Anolis sagrei: one gene and its partner. The protein of the gene in region 2 purifies or fractionates together with the protein of the main gene of each other region. This does not show direct contact. Links are inferred from orthologs where the notes say so. Each region holds a gene or a part of one and is shown on either strand. Other genes may lie near its edges.

What was found.
Region 1: the proteins of LATS2 (region 2) and SAV1 purify together in Homo sapiens (affinity purification with western blotting; 4 studies listed by BioGRID, with this or other methods). This does not show direct contact. The link is inferred for Anolis sagrei from reciprocal best matches to the Homo sapiens genes LATS2 and SAV1.

Annotation. Positions count from the first base shown.
Region 1 is NC_090021.1:339,940,681-339,948,033, reverse strand, and holds the start of SAV1 (protein salvador homolog 1), read right to left. Parts: upstream 3,039-7,353; 5' UTR 2,842-3,038; coding exon 2,748-2,841; intron 1-2,747. UniProt on the Homo sapiens protein: Regulator of STK3/MST2 and STK4/MST1 in the Hippo signaling pathway which plays a pivotal role in organ size control and tumor suppression by restricting proliferation and promoting apoptosis.
Region 2 is NC_090023.1:28,496,034-28,503,665, forward strand, and holds the start of LATS2 (serine/threonine-protein kinase LATS2), read right to left. Parts: upstream 3,207-7,632; 5' UTR 2,947-3,206; intron 1-2,946. UniProt on the Homo sapiens protein: Negative regulator of YAP1 in the Hippo signaling pathway that plays a pivotal role in organ size control and tumor suppression by restricting proliferation and promoting apoptosis.

The DNA of each region.
Region 1 (7,353 bases), on a different chromosome or scaffold from region 2:
TCTGCCTCTTCACTTGATGCTTCCTTGCCACAACTTTGTGCTTCTACCATTTTCAAGTTGATCTTTCTTTTTTATTGTTCCATGCAAATGTGAATTTATACATTGGGTTGTTGTAGGTTTTTTTGGGCTATATGGCCATGTTCTAGAGGCATTCTCTCCTGATGTTTCACCTGCATCTATGGCAAGCATCCTCAGAGGTAGTGAGGTCTGTTGGAACTAGGAAAATTGGGTTTATATATCTGTGGAATGACCAGGGTGGGACAAAGAACTCTTGTCTGTTGGAGCTAGGTGTGAATGTTTCAACTGGCCACCTTGAGTAGCATTTGATGGCCTGGCAATGCCTGGGGCAATCTTTTGCTGAGAGATGATTAGATGTCCTTGATTGTTTCCTCTCTGTTGTTTTGCTGTTGTGATTTTAGAGTTTTTTTTTAATACTGGTAGCCAGATTTTGTTCATTTTCATGATTTCCTCCTTTCTGTTGAAATTTTCAATTTATACATTATTTATTAATTACGAAGTACATATTCTTATTTAAAAACATGTAAAACTATGGAGGGGTGGGATCCAAAACACCCAGAGGAGAGCCAAAGTTTGCCCATGTGTATTCTACTGGTTTGAGTCATGGACTCCAAGCCAACCTAAAGTCATAGACTGTAACAACCAGAACTGTCTATGGTGTTTTAAACTGGGCCTAAGAATGGCTATATTCAGGGATGTTGTTATTTAATGTATGTTCTATTTTTAACTGGATAGTAGTTTACAACAAGATGAAAACAAGATACAACTAAACATGATAATATAAGTGCCATTTTAAGCAAGCTTTCTTCCTGCTTTCCCTTTCTTTCCTTCTTCCTTCCCTGCTATGTGCCTTCCTTCTCTTTCCTTCTTCCTTCCTTCCTTGCCTACCTATCCTTTCCTTCCTCCTCTTTTGTTTCTTCCCCCCTCCTCTTTCTCTTCTTCGTTTCCTCTTTCACTCATTCTTTCCTTCCTTCCCACTTTCCTTCCTTCCCTTTCACACATTCTATCCTTCCTTCCCAACTTTCTTTCTTTCCCTTCTTTCCTTTCTTCCGACTTTCTCTCCTTCTTCCTTCCTTCACTCATTCTTTCCTTCTTTCTCAACTTTCTTCCCTTCTTTTCCCCTTCTTTCTTTCCTTCCTACTTTCTCTCCTTCTTTCTTGCCTTCTCTCTTTCTCTCATATCTTCCCTCTTTCCTTCCTACTCAAATTTCTTCTCTTCCCTACTTTCTGTCCTTCCCTCTTTCACTCATTCTCTCCTTTCTTCTCAACTTTCTCTCCTTCTTTCCTTTCTTCCTTCTTTCTCTTCTTCCTTCCCTCTTTCAGTCATTTTTTCTTTCCCTTCCTTTTCAACTTTCTCTTCTTTCCTTCTTCCCCTTTCTCTCCTTCCTTCCCTCTTTCACTCATTCTTTCTTTTCCTTCCTTCTCAACTTTCCTTCTTTCTTTTCTTCCTCTCCTTTCTCCTTTCATTCCTTCCCTTTCTCTTCTTCCTTCCCTCTTTCGCTCATTCTTTCTTTTCCTTCTTTCTCAACTTTCTCTCCTTTCCTTTCTTCCCTCTTATTTTTCTTCTTTTTCTCCTTCCTCCTTTCATTCCTTCCCTCTTTTGCTCATTCTTTTTTTCCTTCCTTCTCAACTTTCTCTCCTTCTTTCCTTTCTTCCTCTTCCTTCCCTCTATTGCTCATTCTTTCTTTTCCCTTTTCTCAACTTTCTTTCCTTTCTTCTTTCCTACCCTTTGTGTCTCCTTCTTTCTTCTTCCCTCCCTTCCCTCTCACTCGTTCTTTCCTTTCTTCTCAACTTTCTCTCTTTCCTTTCTTCCTTCTTACTCTTCTTCTTTCTCTCCTTCCTTCCCTCTTTCACTCATTCTTTCTTTTCCTTGCTTCTCAACGTTCTCTCTTCTTTCCTTTCTCCCTTCTTACTCTTCTTCTTTCTCTCCTTCTTCTTACCTTCCTTCCCTTTCTCTCCTTCCTTCTTTCACTCATTCTTTCCATTCCTTCCTTCTCAACATTCTCTTCTTCTTTCTCTCCTTCCTTCTTCTACCCTTCCCTTCCTCCTCCTCCTTTTCCTTCCTCCCCTCTTTCACTCATTCTTTCCATTCCTTCCTTCTCAACATTCTCTTCTTCTTTCTCTCCTTCCTTCTCTCCTTCCTTCCCGCTCACTCCTTCTTCCCTTCCTTCTCAACGTTATCTCCTTCCTTCTTCTTTCCTTCCTTCCCTCTCACTCATTCTTTCCTTCCTTCTCAACTTTTATCTCCTTTCCCTTCTTCCTTCTTTCTCTCCTTTCTTCCTTCTTACTCTTCTTCCCTCTTTTTCTTCTTCTTCCACTTTCCTTCCTCCCCTCTCAATCATTGTTTCCTTTCTTCTCAACTTTTTCTCCTTCTTTCTATCCTTCCTTCTTCTTCTCTCCTTCCTTCCCTCTCACTCCTTCTTTCCTTCCTTCCTTCCCGCTCACTCCTTCTTCCCTTCCTTCTCAATGTTATCTCCTTCCTTCTTCTTTCCTTCCTTCCCTGTCACTCACTCTTTCCTTACTTCTCAACTCTATCTCCTTCTTTCCTTCCTTCCTCCTTCTTTTTCTCTACTTCCTTCTTCTTTCCTTCCTTTCTTCTCAACTCCTTCCCTTCCTTCTTACTCTTCTTTTCTCCATCCTTCTTCTTCCCTTCCTTCCCTCTCACTCATTCTTTCCTGCCCTCTTTCCCTCCCCTTTTCCCCTCCCCTCCTTCATCTCCTTCCTACTCACTGCGGAGGAGGGGGCTGGTCTCCTTGATGACGTACTTGCCCTGCACCTCCCCGGGCTTCGAGAGCTCCCCCCGGGCCTTCTTCCGGGAAAGCATCCCCCGCCAGGGAAGGAAGAGAGGGAGGGAAGCAGGGAGGGAAGCCCGGCCTGCCCTCGGCCCCTCTCACCGCCTCCTCCGCTTCCTCATGGCCTTCCCCTCGGAAGAGAACCTTCCCTTTTCCACCCGGGAGGAAGGACACTCAGGGAGAAAGAGAGGGAGAAGGCCCGCCCGGAAGACCGACCCTCTTCCCTTCATTCAGGGGTAAACACAGGAAGCGGAAGTCCGCCAGGACTCAGGACTCGGGTAGAGCTGCTCACAGCGCCACCGTGCGGCCGGAAGGAGAATCTTCATTGCTCTCAAAACTGTTTTCAACAAACCTGGGCCAACTTGGGCCCTCCCTCCAGGGGTTTTGGACTACAACTCCCACAATTCCTAACAGCCGGTAGGCTGTTAGGAATTGTGGGAGTTGTGGTCCAAAACCCTTGGAGGCAGGGAGGGAGGGCCCAAGTTGGCCCATGCCTGCTTAGCTGGCCCTGATTGTTTCCTGTCTGTAATTCCTCTGTTTGTTGAGTGTTGCTCTATGTTTACTGTCCTGGTTAACTGTCCAAGGTGAACTGAACCACCTCAACTGGGCTCTCCAGGCGACATTGATTAGCATTGAATGGCCCTGCAGCTTCAAAGCCTGGCTGGTTGCTTCCTAGGGGATCCTTTGTTGGAAGGTGTTAGCTGGCCCTCAACTGGGCTCTCCAGGCCACATTGATTAGCATTGCATGGCCTTGTAGCTTCAAAGCCTGGCTGGTTGCTTCCTGGGGAAATCCTTTGTGTGCAGTGTTAGCTGGCCCTGATTGTTTCCTGTCTGGAATTCCTTTTAAAAAAAATAGTGTTGCTCTTTATTTACTGTCCAAGGTGAACTGAACCACCTCAACTGGGCTCTCCAGGCCACATTGATTAGCATTAAATGGCCCTGTAGCTTCAAAGCCTGGCTAATTGCTGCCTGGGGGAATGCTTTGTTAGGAGGTGTTAGCTGGCCCTGATTATTTTCTGTCCAGAATTCGTCTGACTTTTTTAGTCCTGATTTACTGTCCAAGGTGAACTGAACCACCTCAACTGGGCTCTCCAGGCCACATTGATTGGCATTGACTGGCCTTGCAGCTTCAAAGCCTGGCTGGTTGCTTCCTAGGGGATCCTTTGTTGGAAGGTGTTAGCTGGCCCTCAACTGGGCTCTCCAGGCCACCTTGATTAGCATTGACTGGACTTGCAGCTTCAAAGCCTGGCTGGTTGCTGCCTGGGGGAATCCTTTGTTGGAAGGTGTTAGTTGGCCCCCAACTGGGCTCTCCAGGCCACCTTGATTGGCATTGAATGGCCATGCAGCTTAAAAGCCTGGCTGATCACTGCCCGGGGGACTCCTTTGTTGGGAGGTGTTAGCTGGGCCTGATTATTTTCTGTCTGGAATTCCTCTGGGTTTTTTTTTAGTCCTGATTTACTGTCCAAGGTGAACTGAACTCCCTCAACTGGGCTCTCCAGGCCACACTGATTGGCATTGACTGGCCTTGCAGCTTCAAAGCCTGGCTGGTTGCTTCCTAGGGGATCCTTTGTTGGAAGGTGTTAGCTGACCCTCAACTGGGCTCTCCAGGCGACATTGATTAGCATTGACTGGCCTTGCAGCTTCAAAGCCTGGCTGATTGCTGCCTGGGGAATCCTTTCTTAGGAGGTGTTAGCTGGCCCTGATTGTTTCCTGTCTGGAATTCCTTTGTTGTTGTTTTTTTTATAGTGTTGCTCTTTATTTACTGTCCAAGGTGAACTGAACCCCCTCAACTGGGCTCTCCAGGACACATTGATTAGCATTGAATGGCCATTTATTTACTGTCCAAAGTGAACTGAACCACCTCAACTCGGCTCTCCAGGTCACAGTGATTAGCACTGAATAGCCTTGCAGGTTGCTGCCTGGGGGAAACCTTTGTTGGCGGCCCTGATTGTTTCCTGTTTGGAATTCCTCTGTTTTTTGAGTGTTGCTTTTTTTACTGTCCTGATTTACTGTCCAAGGTGAACTGAACTCCCTCAACTGGTCTCTCCAGGCCACATTGATTAGCATTGACTGGCCTTGCAGCTTCAAAGCCTGGCTGGTTGCTGCCTGGGGGAATCCTTTGTTGGCGGCCCTGATTGTTTCCTGTTTGGAATTCCTCTGTTTTTTGAGTGTTGCGCATTTTTTACTGTCCTGATTTACTGTCCAAGGTGAACTGAACTCCCTCAACTGGTCTCTCCAGGCCACATTGATTAGCATTGACTGGCCTTGCAGCTTCAAAGCCTGGCTGGTTGCTGCCTGGGGGAATCCTTTGTTTGGGGGGGGGATGTTAGCTGGACCTGACAAGAAACAAGCACTGCCAGCTAACACCTCCCAGCCTCCCAAGTAATTATGGTGTCATTGTTTTCCTCCCCCCCCCCCCCACACACACATACATACACACGCACCCCACCACGGTTGCAATGATACAACTTAAGGAGGATTGTGTTGGTAAGAGTCCATATATTAAAAGTAGCACATAATGTACATCAACTCCCTCCTCCAACTGAAATGAAATTGAATCAAAGTCGTTCTAAAAAACAGAGAAAGCCACACTGAAGGTGTTAGAAAACAACAACAACACAATTACTGGACATGTTGAGGTTGAGACCGAAGTCAGGGCTGCCCATTTGCTTTGGTTCTAACATGTATGGCATTCAGATTCCTGAGAATCTTCCAATTAATTCAAAATAAATTGAAATAGTCCCTGGAAGTGCTCTAATCAAGATCAATAAAAGTGCTCTTGGGCAAAGGGGGCCAACTTCTGAGCAATCTTGACATTATAGTGTTTGCATGAATACATGGAAGTTGTCATAAACGAAACACAACCACTTGCATCCTACAATGCATCTGCATGGTGCAATTAATGCAGGCTCAGTGCTGTGGAATTCTGGGAATTGGAGTCTGAAAAGGTGTGGAATTCTGGGAGTTATAGTCATATAAGGCAATTATCCTGGCTTCAAACTACAAGAGAGGAGATTCCATCTGAACACGAGGAAGAACTTCCTGACTGTGAGAGCCGTTCAGCAGTGGAACTCTCTGCCCCGGAGTGTGGTGGAGGCTCCTTCTTTGGAAGCTTTTAAACAGAGGCTGGATGGCCATCTGTCAGGGGTGCTTTGAATGCAATATTCCTGCTTCTTGGCAGAATGGGGTCGGACTGAATGGCCCATGAGGTCTCTTCCAACTCTAGGATTCTAGGATTCTATTCTATCCTCTGCCAGAGCGATGCTCGTCACCACACCACACATCTTAGGATTCCATAGCATTGAGGGCCATTAAAGTGATGTCAAACTGCATTAATTCCGCAGTGTAGATGTGACTAGCAGTGGAAACTTTAAAGTGAGTGAAGATGTGTGAGAAATCAACTAATACCAGGACTAGTAGTAGAGGGTGCATGTAAACTGTAGAATTAATGCAGTTTGACGCCACTTTATCAATGACAGTTATGCTCGCCACACGACCAAGAGGTGTCAGTGGACAACGCAGGCTCCTCAGCTTGGAAATGGAGATGACAATGTATGTCTGTGTCCATATCTCTTAAAGGGGATTGGCTTAACTTCCAGTTTGCTAGTAAAACTGAATTACCATGTCTCAAAAATGCTCGCAATGTTCTGCTCTAGCTCCTTTGGAAGCTTTTAAGCAGAGGCTGGATGGACATCTGTCAGGGGTGCTTTGAATGCAATTTTCCTGCTTCTTGGCAGAATGGGGTTGGACTGGATGGCCCATGAGGTCTCTTCCAACTCTGTGATTCTATGATTCTGTGATTTGTAGCTTTGGCATCAACATTTCTGTGCAAGTAGTAATGGCCAAGGACTGTGCGAATGGAGGTCTACCTATGTTTAGTGTTTGAAGGTGCATTGCACTTCCAACGTCATAGCGCTCCTCCTCCAGGTTGAACTCTCCATCAAATGGGGAGTTTGCAGTAAGGCATCCAGGGAGGAAGTTGAGATCGAGATTGAGAAGGAGCCGCCCTGGCACGGATCTAAACCTCTAACATCCCAAAGGCAGCGTTTTCTAAAACAGGCGAAATGCCCAGCATTTCCTCACTAAAGTGCATGGGTTGTGCAGAGTTCGGCAGACGTGTTACGAGCCCAGCTGAACCGTGGACCCCAATGTTGGGGAGGTCAGGTTGCTGACGATCCTGCTGAGGTTGGCAATTTTCTCCTCCAGCAAGTAGTTCTTCTTCTCCACCGTTTGATGCCTCTGTTCCGTCATCTCCAGGGCTTTCAGGAGCTGGGCGTTCTCAACGTAGAGGTCTTTCACCATTTCGTCTGCTTTTCTGTTCTTGGTGAGCTGAAACACAAGAAACAAGGAGTTGTCGCTCAAGCAATGGGACTCTTCCCCCGCCATTTAGGCCGGGACTAGAACTGGGCACGAAGGTTGACCTATGAAGTAGACATGTGCAATTCAAAGGAGCTGGGGATGGTGATGGCCGACAGGGAGCTCTGGCGTGGGCTGGTCCATGAGGTCATGAAGAGTCGGAGACAACTGAACGAATGAACAACAAC
Region 2 (7,632 bases):
TATTACTAATACTATTGCAGTACAGTCGTATAGTACAACATAGGAATATAAAATACTAATGTTATGCTATGCTAATAATACATTGTATGTACATAAAACTTGTAAGTTGCTCTGAGTCCCCTCTGGGTTGAGAGAGGGTGGAGTATAAAAATAGTATATAGATAAACAAACAAATTTTAACTTCTTGGACTCTCATTCAAATCTAAAACAGTACTATTTTTGGCAAAAAAAATATTTTGAAACTTTTTTTGTATTTGACTTTAATGTGGGGGTGGGAGAGAGACTAGTAGTTTTCAGAAATTTGAGGAAGACGTTGATAAATAAAAATTGAGAAGGAACTTCTATGCAGGCCTGTAGCGAGAGGGTGGTTTTAGGGGTTCAACCCCCCCCCCCGAAATGTTTCAGATTTTTTTTAAAAAAACTGGTTTACTCATGAATTTTAACTGGTTAACCAAATCCCCATGCTAAGTCTATGAGATGCAAAAAAATCAAGAGTCCCTCCAGAAATGTAAGCACTATCTCAAGCAAATATTGACAATTTATTCATTATTATTATTACTTGCAGCAATAGCCGATGTAGTGAAGCAACCAAGTTGGGGGCCAGACTTGGTGGAGGTGGTTGACAGGGGTGGAGCTGCAGGCTATTGAAGGTTGCTCTGCCCCCTGCTGTGCTCTTTGCTTCAGCGTGAGCTAGGAAGCAGATTTCAACCCCACCCACCCCCAAAATTTTCAACCCTCCCCAAAATTTTCACACACACCCCCCCCCCCCCAAATTTTCAACCCTCCCCGAAATTTTTTTCTGGCTACGGCCCTGCTTCTATGAATGCCATGTGATGATAGTACTGGGAAAACATGAATAGTAATATCTTATTTATTCTGTTCCAAGATGTCATTGAATCTAAGATCCACCAAATTTTTCAATATATTGATTTTAGTAAAGGTAAAGGTTCCCCATCACCTTTAAGTCTAGTCGTGACCGACTCTGGGGGGTGATGCTCATCTCTGTTTCTAAGCTAGAGAGCTGGCATTGTTCCTAGACATCTCCAAGGACATGTGGCTGGCATGACCGCATGGAGCACTGTTACCTTCCCGCAGAAGTGGTACCTATTGATCTACTCACATTTGCATGTTTTCGAACTGCTAGGTTGGCAGAAGCTGAGGCTAACAGTGGGAGTTCACCCCCTCCCTGGATTTGAACTGTGAACCTTTCGGTCAGTAAATTCAGCAGCTCAGCGGTTTAACCAACTGCGCAAATTGTATTATTACTATTATATTGTATTATAATATTATGATCAGTATTACATGTACATTCAATATATAGCATAGCACAATATTAGTATTATATATTCCTATTTATATTCCACTATTCCTATATATTCCACTATACTGCAATATTATTAGTAATATTACATGTATTATATAGTACAGAATTATTATATTGTATTATTAGTTTATTGCATTATATTACAATATTATGATCAATATTATATATACTTAAAATACATTATATTATTAGCATTGTACAATGTTAGTATTATATATTCCTATATTGTACTATACCACTATACTGCAATATTATTAGTAATATTACATGTAATATTTAATATACAATTAGTATATTGTAATATTATTAGCATTACATTGTATTACATTATAATAGTATTATCAACATTATATATTACATGTAATATATAATTATTGTTTTATTATATTGTATTCTTTAGGATTATATTGTATTACAATATTATGATCCATATTATATGTACATACAGGATATTATTTTATTAGCATAGTACAATATTAGTATTATATATTCCTATATTTTACTATACACTATACTGCAATGTTATTAGTAATATTACATGGACTATATAATATACAATTATTATAGTGTAATATATAATTATTACATTATTATTATATTGTATTCTTTAAGATTATATTGTATTACAATATTATGCTCAATATTATACGTACATACAATATATTATATTATCAGCATAGTACAATATTAGTATTATATATTACTATACCACTATGTTGCAATATTATTATTAATATTACATATAAAATACGATTATCATATTGTATTATTAGCTTAGTACAATATTAGTATTTTGTATTACTATACTGCAATACTATTAGTAATATTACATGTAATATATAAAATACTATTACCATTTTGCATTATTAGTATTATATTGCAATATATTGCAATATTATTATCAATAATAAGTATTCCTACCGGCTGTTAGGAATTGTGGGAGTTGTAGTCCAAAACACCTGGAGGGCCCAAGTTTGCCCATGTATGTTCTGGAGCATCTACACTGCAGAATTAGTGCAGTCTAACACCACTTGGAATGCATTGTTAGGGAGAATTGGTTGGGAACCCCAAGGGCCATCCAGTCCAACCCCATTCTGCCATATAAGACTACACAACCCAAACACTCCATTCTGCCATGAAAAAACACACACAACCCAAGCACTCCCAACAGATGGCCATCCAGCTGCTGAATAAAACCCTCGAGGAGTTAAAGAAGGAGGCTCCACCATGATGATGATTCCACCCCATTCTGCCATGCAGGAATACACAACCAAAGCCCTCCCGACAGATGGCCATCCAGTTGCTGAATTAAAGCTTCAAGGAGTTAAAGAAGGAGGCTCCACCATGATGATGATTCCAACCCCATTCTGCCATGCAGGCATACACAACCAAAGCCCTCCCAACAGATGACCATCCAGCCTTCCACTCCTCCCTCCCAACTTCCAAGAAGGAGCCATTGCAATGCCCGGGGTTTCTCCTTCTCATACTTCCAAGTTGAGTAACTTTTGCACGACAGCTTCCCCGGACTTGTTGCTCCGAAGCAAGGAAGGAAAAGCAAGAAGGGCTTTGGGAGAAGGAAGGAGGAGGAAGGCGCCCAGCCCCACCCCTCCTGCGCTCCTTACCTCCAAAAGGGAAGCTTGCTTGCTTGCTTTCTTTCTTTCCTGGGGGAAAAAGGATCAAGGGGAAACTTCCACCACTCTGGGAACAGCTTGGCTTCTGCTTCGGAAGGCGCCCCGCAAATCATCATATTCGTATTGCTGCCTCTGCTGCTGCTGCTGCTTCTCCATTCTTCTCGCCTCCCTCCGCCTCGCGCCCAGAAATGCGGCAGCAGCCCCGCACAGTTGGGACATTCGCTACATTGTTAGCATTCCTTTCGCCCCCACGTGACCCCCGGGGCCCCGGCGTCATTCCACCGCCCGCCCTTCGCATACCAGCCAGGAGGCGGGGCCCCAGCTGCCCATCAAGGGCTCCGACTGGGCGGGGCTTCGAGTTAGGGCGTTCTGTCCCCGCCCAGCAAGAGTTCCAAAGAGGCGGGGATTTGACTTAGAAGCTCTGTCTCCGCCCATCAAGGGCTCCGAATGGGCGGGGCTTGGAGTTAGGCGTTCTGTCTCCGCCCATTAAGGGCTTGGAATGGGCGGGGTTTGGACTTAGAACCTCTGTCTCCGCTCACTAAGGGCTTGGAATGGGCGGGGCTTCGAGTTAGGGCGTTCTGTCTCCGCCCATCAAGAGCTCCAAATAGGCGGGGCTTCGGCTTAGAAGCTCTGTCTCCGCTCATCAAGGGTGGAATGGGCGGGGCTTGAAGTTGAGCGTTCTGTCTCCGCCCATCAAGGGCTTGGAATGGGCGGGGCTTAGGATTAGGAACTCTGTCTCCGCTCATCAAGGGGTTGAATGCTGGTTACTTCTGGAACCAAAGCTCAAGCAGGGAGCTTTGAGATGGTTGAACAGAAGCTCTCCGAAGCTCTAGGTGCTCTTACTGCCTATTACAGGGGAAACCAGCTGATCCCCAACCCATCTAAAACACAGACATGTGCCTTTCATCTCAAGAACAGACAAGCATCCCGAGCTCTGAAGATCACCTGGGAAGGAATCCCACTGGAGCATTGCAGCACACCCAAATACCTGGGAGTCACTCTGGACTGTGCTCTTACCTATAAGAAGCACGGCCTGAACATCAAGCAAAAAGTGGGTGCGAGAAACAATATCATAGGAAAGCTGACTGGCACAACCTGGGGATCACAACCAGATACGGTGAAGACATCTGCCCTTGCGCTATGCTACTCTGCTGCTGAGTATGCATGTCCAGTATGGAACACATCTCACCACACTGAAACAGTGGCTGTGGCTCTTAATGAGACATGCCGCATTATCACGGGGTGTCTGCGCCCTACACCACTGGAGAAATTACACTGCTTAGCTGGTATTGCATCACCTGACATCCGCCGGGAAGTAGCAGCCAATAGTGAAAGGACCAAGGCAGAGACATCTCCAGCTCATCTCCTGTTTGGGTATCAGCCACCACGCCAACGACTTAAATCAAGACATAGTTTTCTTAGATCTACAGAGACACTCGCTGGAACACCTCAGCAAGCGAGAGTCCAAAAGTGGCAGGCCCAAACCCAGCACCTCAATTCATGGGTGATACCAGATGAGAGACTCCCCCCTGGGCACACAGAAGACTGGGCGACTTGGAAGGCGCTGAACAGGCTGCTCTGGCACCACGAGATGCAGAGCCAATCTTAAGAAATGGGGCTACAAAGTGGAATCCTCGGCATGGGAGTGCGGAGAAGAACAAACCACTGACCACCTGCTGCAATGCACCCTGAGCCCTGACACATGCACCATGGAGGACCTTCTTGCAGCAACACCAGAAGCACTCCAAGTGGCCAGATACTGGTCAAAGGACATTTGATCAACTACCAAACTCACAAATTTTGTATTTTCTCTGTTTGTTTGCTTTGTTCTGTTGGAAATGTAATATAATTGACTGGCTGCCCTGACACGAGAAATAAATAAATAAGGGCTCCGAATGGGCGGGGCTTGGAGTTAGGGTTCTGTCTCCGCCCATTGAGGGCTTGGAATGGGCGGGGTTTGGACTTAGACGCTCTGTCTCTGCTCATCAAGGAGTAGAATGGGCGGGGCTTGAAGTTGGGCGTTCTGTCTCCGCCCATCAAGGGCTTGGAATGGGCGGGGCTTAGGCTTAGGAACTCTTTCTCCGTTCATCAAGGGGTGGAATGGGCGGGGCTTGAAGATGTCTCTGTCCATCAAGAGCTCCAAATAGGCGGGGCTTGGAGTTGGGCGTTTTGGCTGCGCCCATCAAGGGCTCGGAATGGGCGGGGCTTGGAGTTAGGCTTTCTGTCTCCGCCCATCAAGAGCTCCAAATAGGCGGGGCTTGGGTTTAGAAGTTCTGTCTCCGCTCAATAAGGCCTTGGAATGGGCGGGGCTTGGACTCAGAAGCTCTGTCTCCGCCAATCAAGGGCTCGAAATAGGGATGGCTTGGAGTTAGGCCTCTCAAGGGCTTGGAATGGGCGGGGCCTAGAGTTAGGCGTTCTGTCTCCGCCCATCAAGAGCTCCAAATAGGCGGGGCTTAGAGTTAGGCTTCTGTCTCCGCCCATTAAGGGCTTTGAGTAGGAGCCCCCGGTGGCGCAGTGGGTTAAAGCACGGTGCCGGCAGGACTGCAGACCGATAGGTCGCAGGTTCGAATCCGGGGAGAGGCGGATGAGCTCTCCCTCTATCAGCTCCAGCTCCTCATGCGGGGACATGAGAGAAGCCTCCCACAAGGATAATAAAACATCAAAAATCATCCAGGCCAATTCTCTCACAACAACAACAAAAAAGGGGCTTTGAGTGGGCGGGGCTTGAAGTTAAACGTTCTGTCTCCGCCCATCAAGTGGTTGGAATGGGCGGGGCCTAGAGTTAGGCGCACTTTCTCCGCCCCCTCCTCTTGTCTTCCTTGATATCAAGAACATAGATACCTCTGAGTTGCTGTGAGTTTTCCGGTCTGTACGGCCGTATTCCAGAAGCATTTTCTCCTGAAGTTTTGCCCACATCTATGGCAGGCATCCTCAGGGGTTGTGAGGTCTGTTTGAAACTAGGCAAGTGAGGTTTATATATCTGTGGAATGTCCAGGGTGGGAGAAAGAACTCTGGTCTGCTTGAGGCAAGTGTGAATGTTTCAATTGGCCACTTTCATTGTCATTGAATGGCCTTGCAGCTTCAAAGCCTGGCTGCTTCCTGCCGGGGGGGGGAATACTTCGTTGGGAGTTGTTAGCTGGACCTGATTGTATCCTGTCTGGAATTCCCCTGTTTATTAAGAGTTGTTCTTTATTTACTGTCCTGATTTTAGTGTTTCTAAAATACTAGTTGCCAGATTTTGTTCATTTTCATTGTTTCCTCCTTTCTGTTGAAATTGTCCAATGAAATTGGCTACCAGTATTTTAAAAACTCTAAAATCAGGACAGTAAATAAAGAGTAACACTAAAAAAAGAGGAATTCCAGACAAGAATCAATCAAGGCCCGCTAACACTGCCCAACAAAGGATTCCCACAGGCAGGAAGAAGCCAGGCTTGGAGCGGCTTAAGGAGGTGGGCATGTTTAGCCTGAAGAAGAGAAGGCTGAGAGGAGATATGATAGCCATGTATAAATATGTGAGAGGAAGCCACAGGGAGGAGGGAGCAAGCTTGTTTTCCGCTTCCCTGGAGACTAGGACGCGGAACAATGGCTTCAAACTACAAGAAAGGAGATTCCATCTGAACTTTAGGAAGAACTTCCTGACTGTGAGAGCCGTTCAGCAGTGGAACTCTCTGCCCCGGAGTGTGGTGGAGGCTCCTTCTTTGGAAGCTTTTAAGCAGAGGCTGGATGGCCATCTGTCAGGGGTGATTTGAATGCAATATTCCTGCTTCTTGGCAGGGGGTTGGACTGGATGGCCCATGAGGTCTCTTCCAACTCTTTGATTCTATGATTCTATGAAACTGCAAGGCCATTAAATGCTAATCAAGGTGGCCAATTGCAACATTCACACTTGCCTCAAACAGACACGAGTTCTTTCTCCCATGACAGGTGAAGTGGTCTCGAACTACATTTGTCCTATAATGTACATGCACCCAAAGCCCAACTTTTGTCCACTGCAGCTGAGCTGAGGTATTCCTGTCATGGAACCCAGCCTTTTGTTTATCTTGATCTCTGATTCTGGCACTTTGGCTTCCCTTTTCGCTGATAAGACAGAGAAATAACCCACAATTTTGGTATTCCTTGTTAATGGCAATAGTTTGTTGCTGGTACATTGATATTAAATTATACAGATTGGAGAGTTTGGACCTGTTGCAACAAGTCCTAGAATGGGATATAACTGTTTGCTCAATTTAATTCTGAACCCAAAGACCTGCTGTTTATTAATCTCAGTGTAATTAAACACACGGATCAGTACTGCAGCTTCTCTCTGTATGTGGTAACATATATTTCAAATCGCTGCATTCCATAGGGAAAAAAGGGGGTTGCACAAACTGAATATGTTTGGTATTTTCACCGTGCTGCCAGTTACTCGATTCAGAATTGAAGGAGACACCATCTTCTAAATCATTAGGACCTCAGGAAAAAAATTCAGGGCTGAAAGAATGTTGTGGGGCAAAGCAATGCCTTTCACAACCACGGTGGTCCGCGCTCTTGTTACATCCCGAATGTTGTGGGGCAAAGCAATGCCTTTCACAACCACGGTGGTCCGCGCTCTTGTTACATCCCGAATGTTGTGGGGCAAAGCAATGCCTTTCACAACCACGGTGGTCCGTGCTCTTGTTACATCCCGAATGTTGTGGG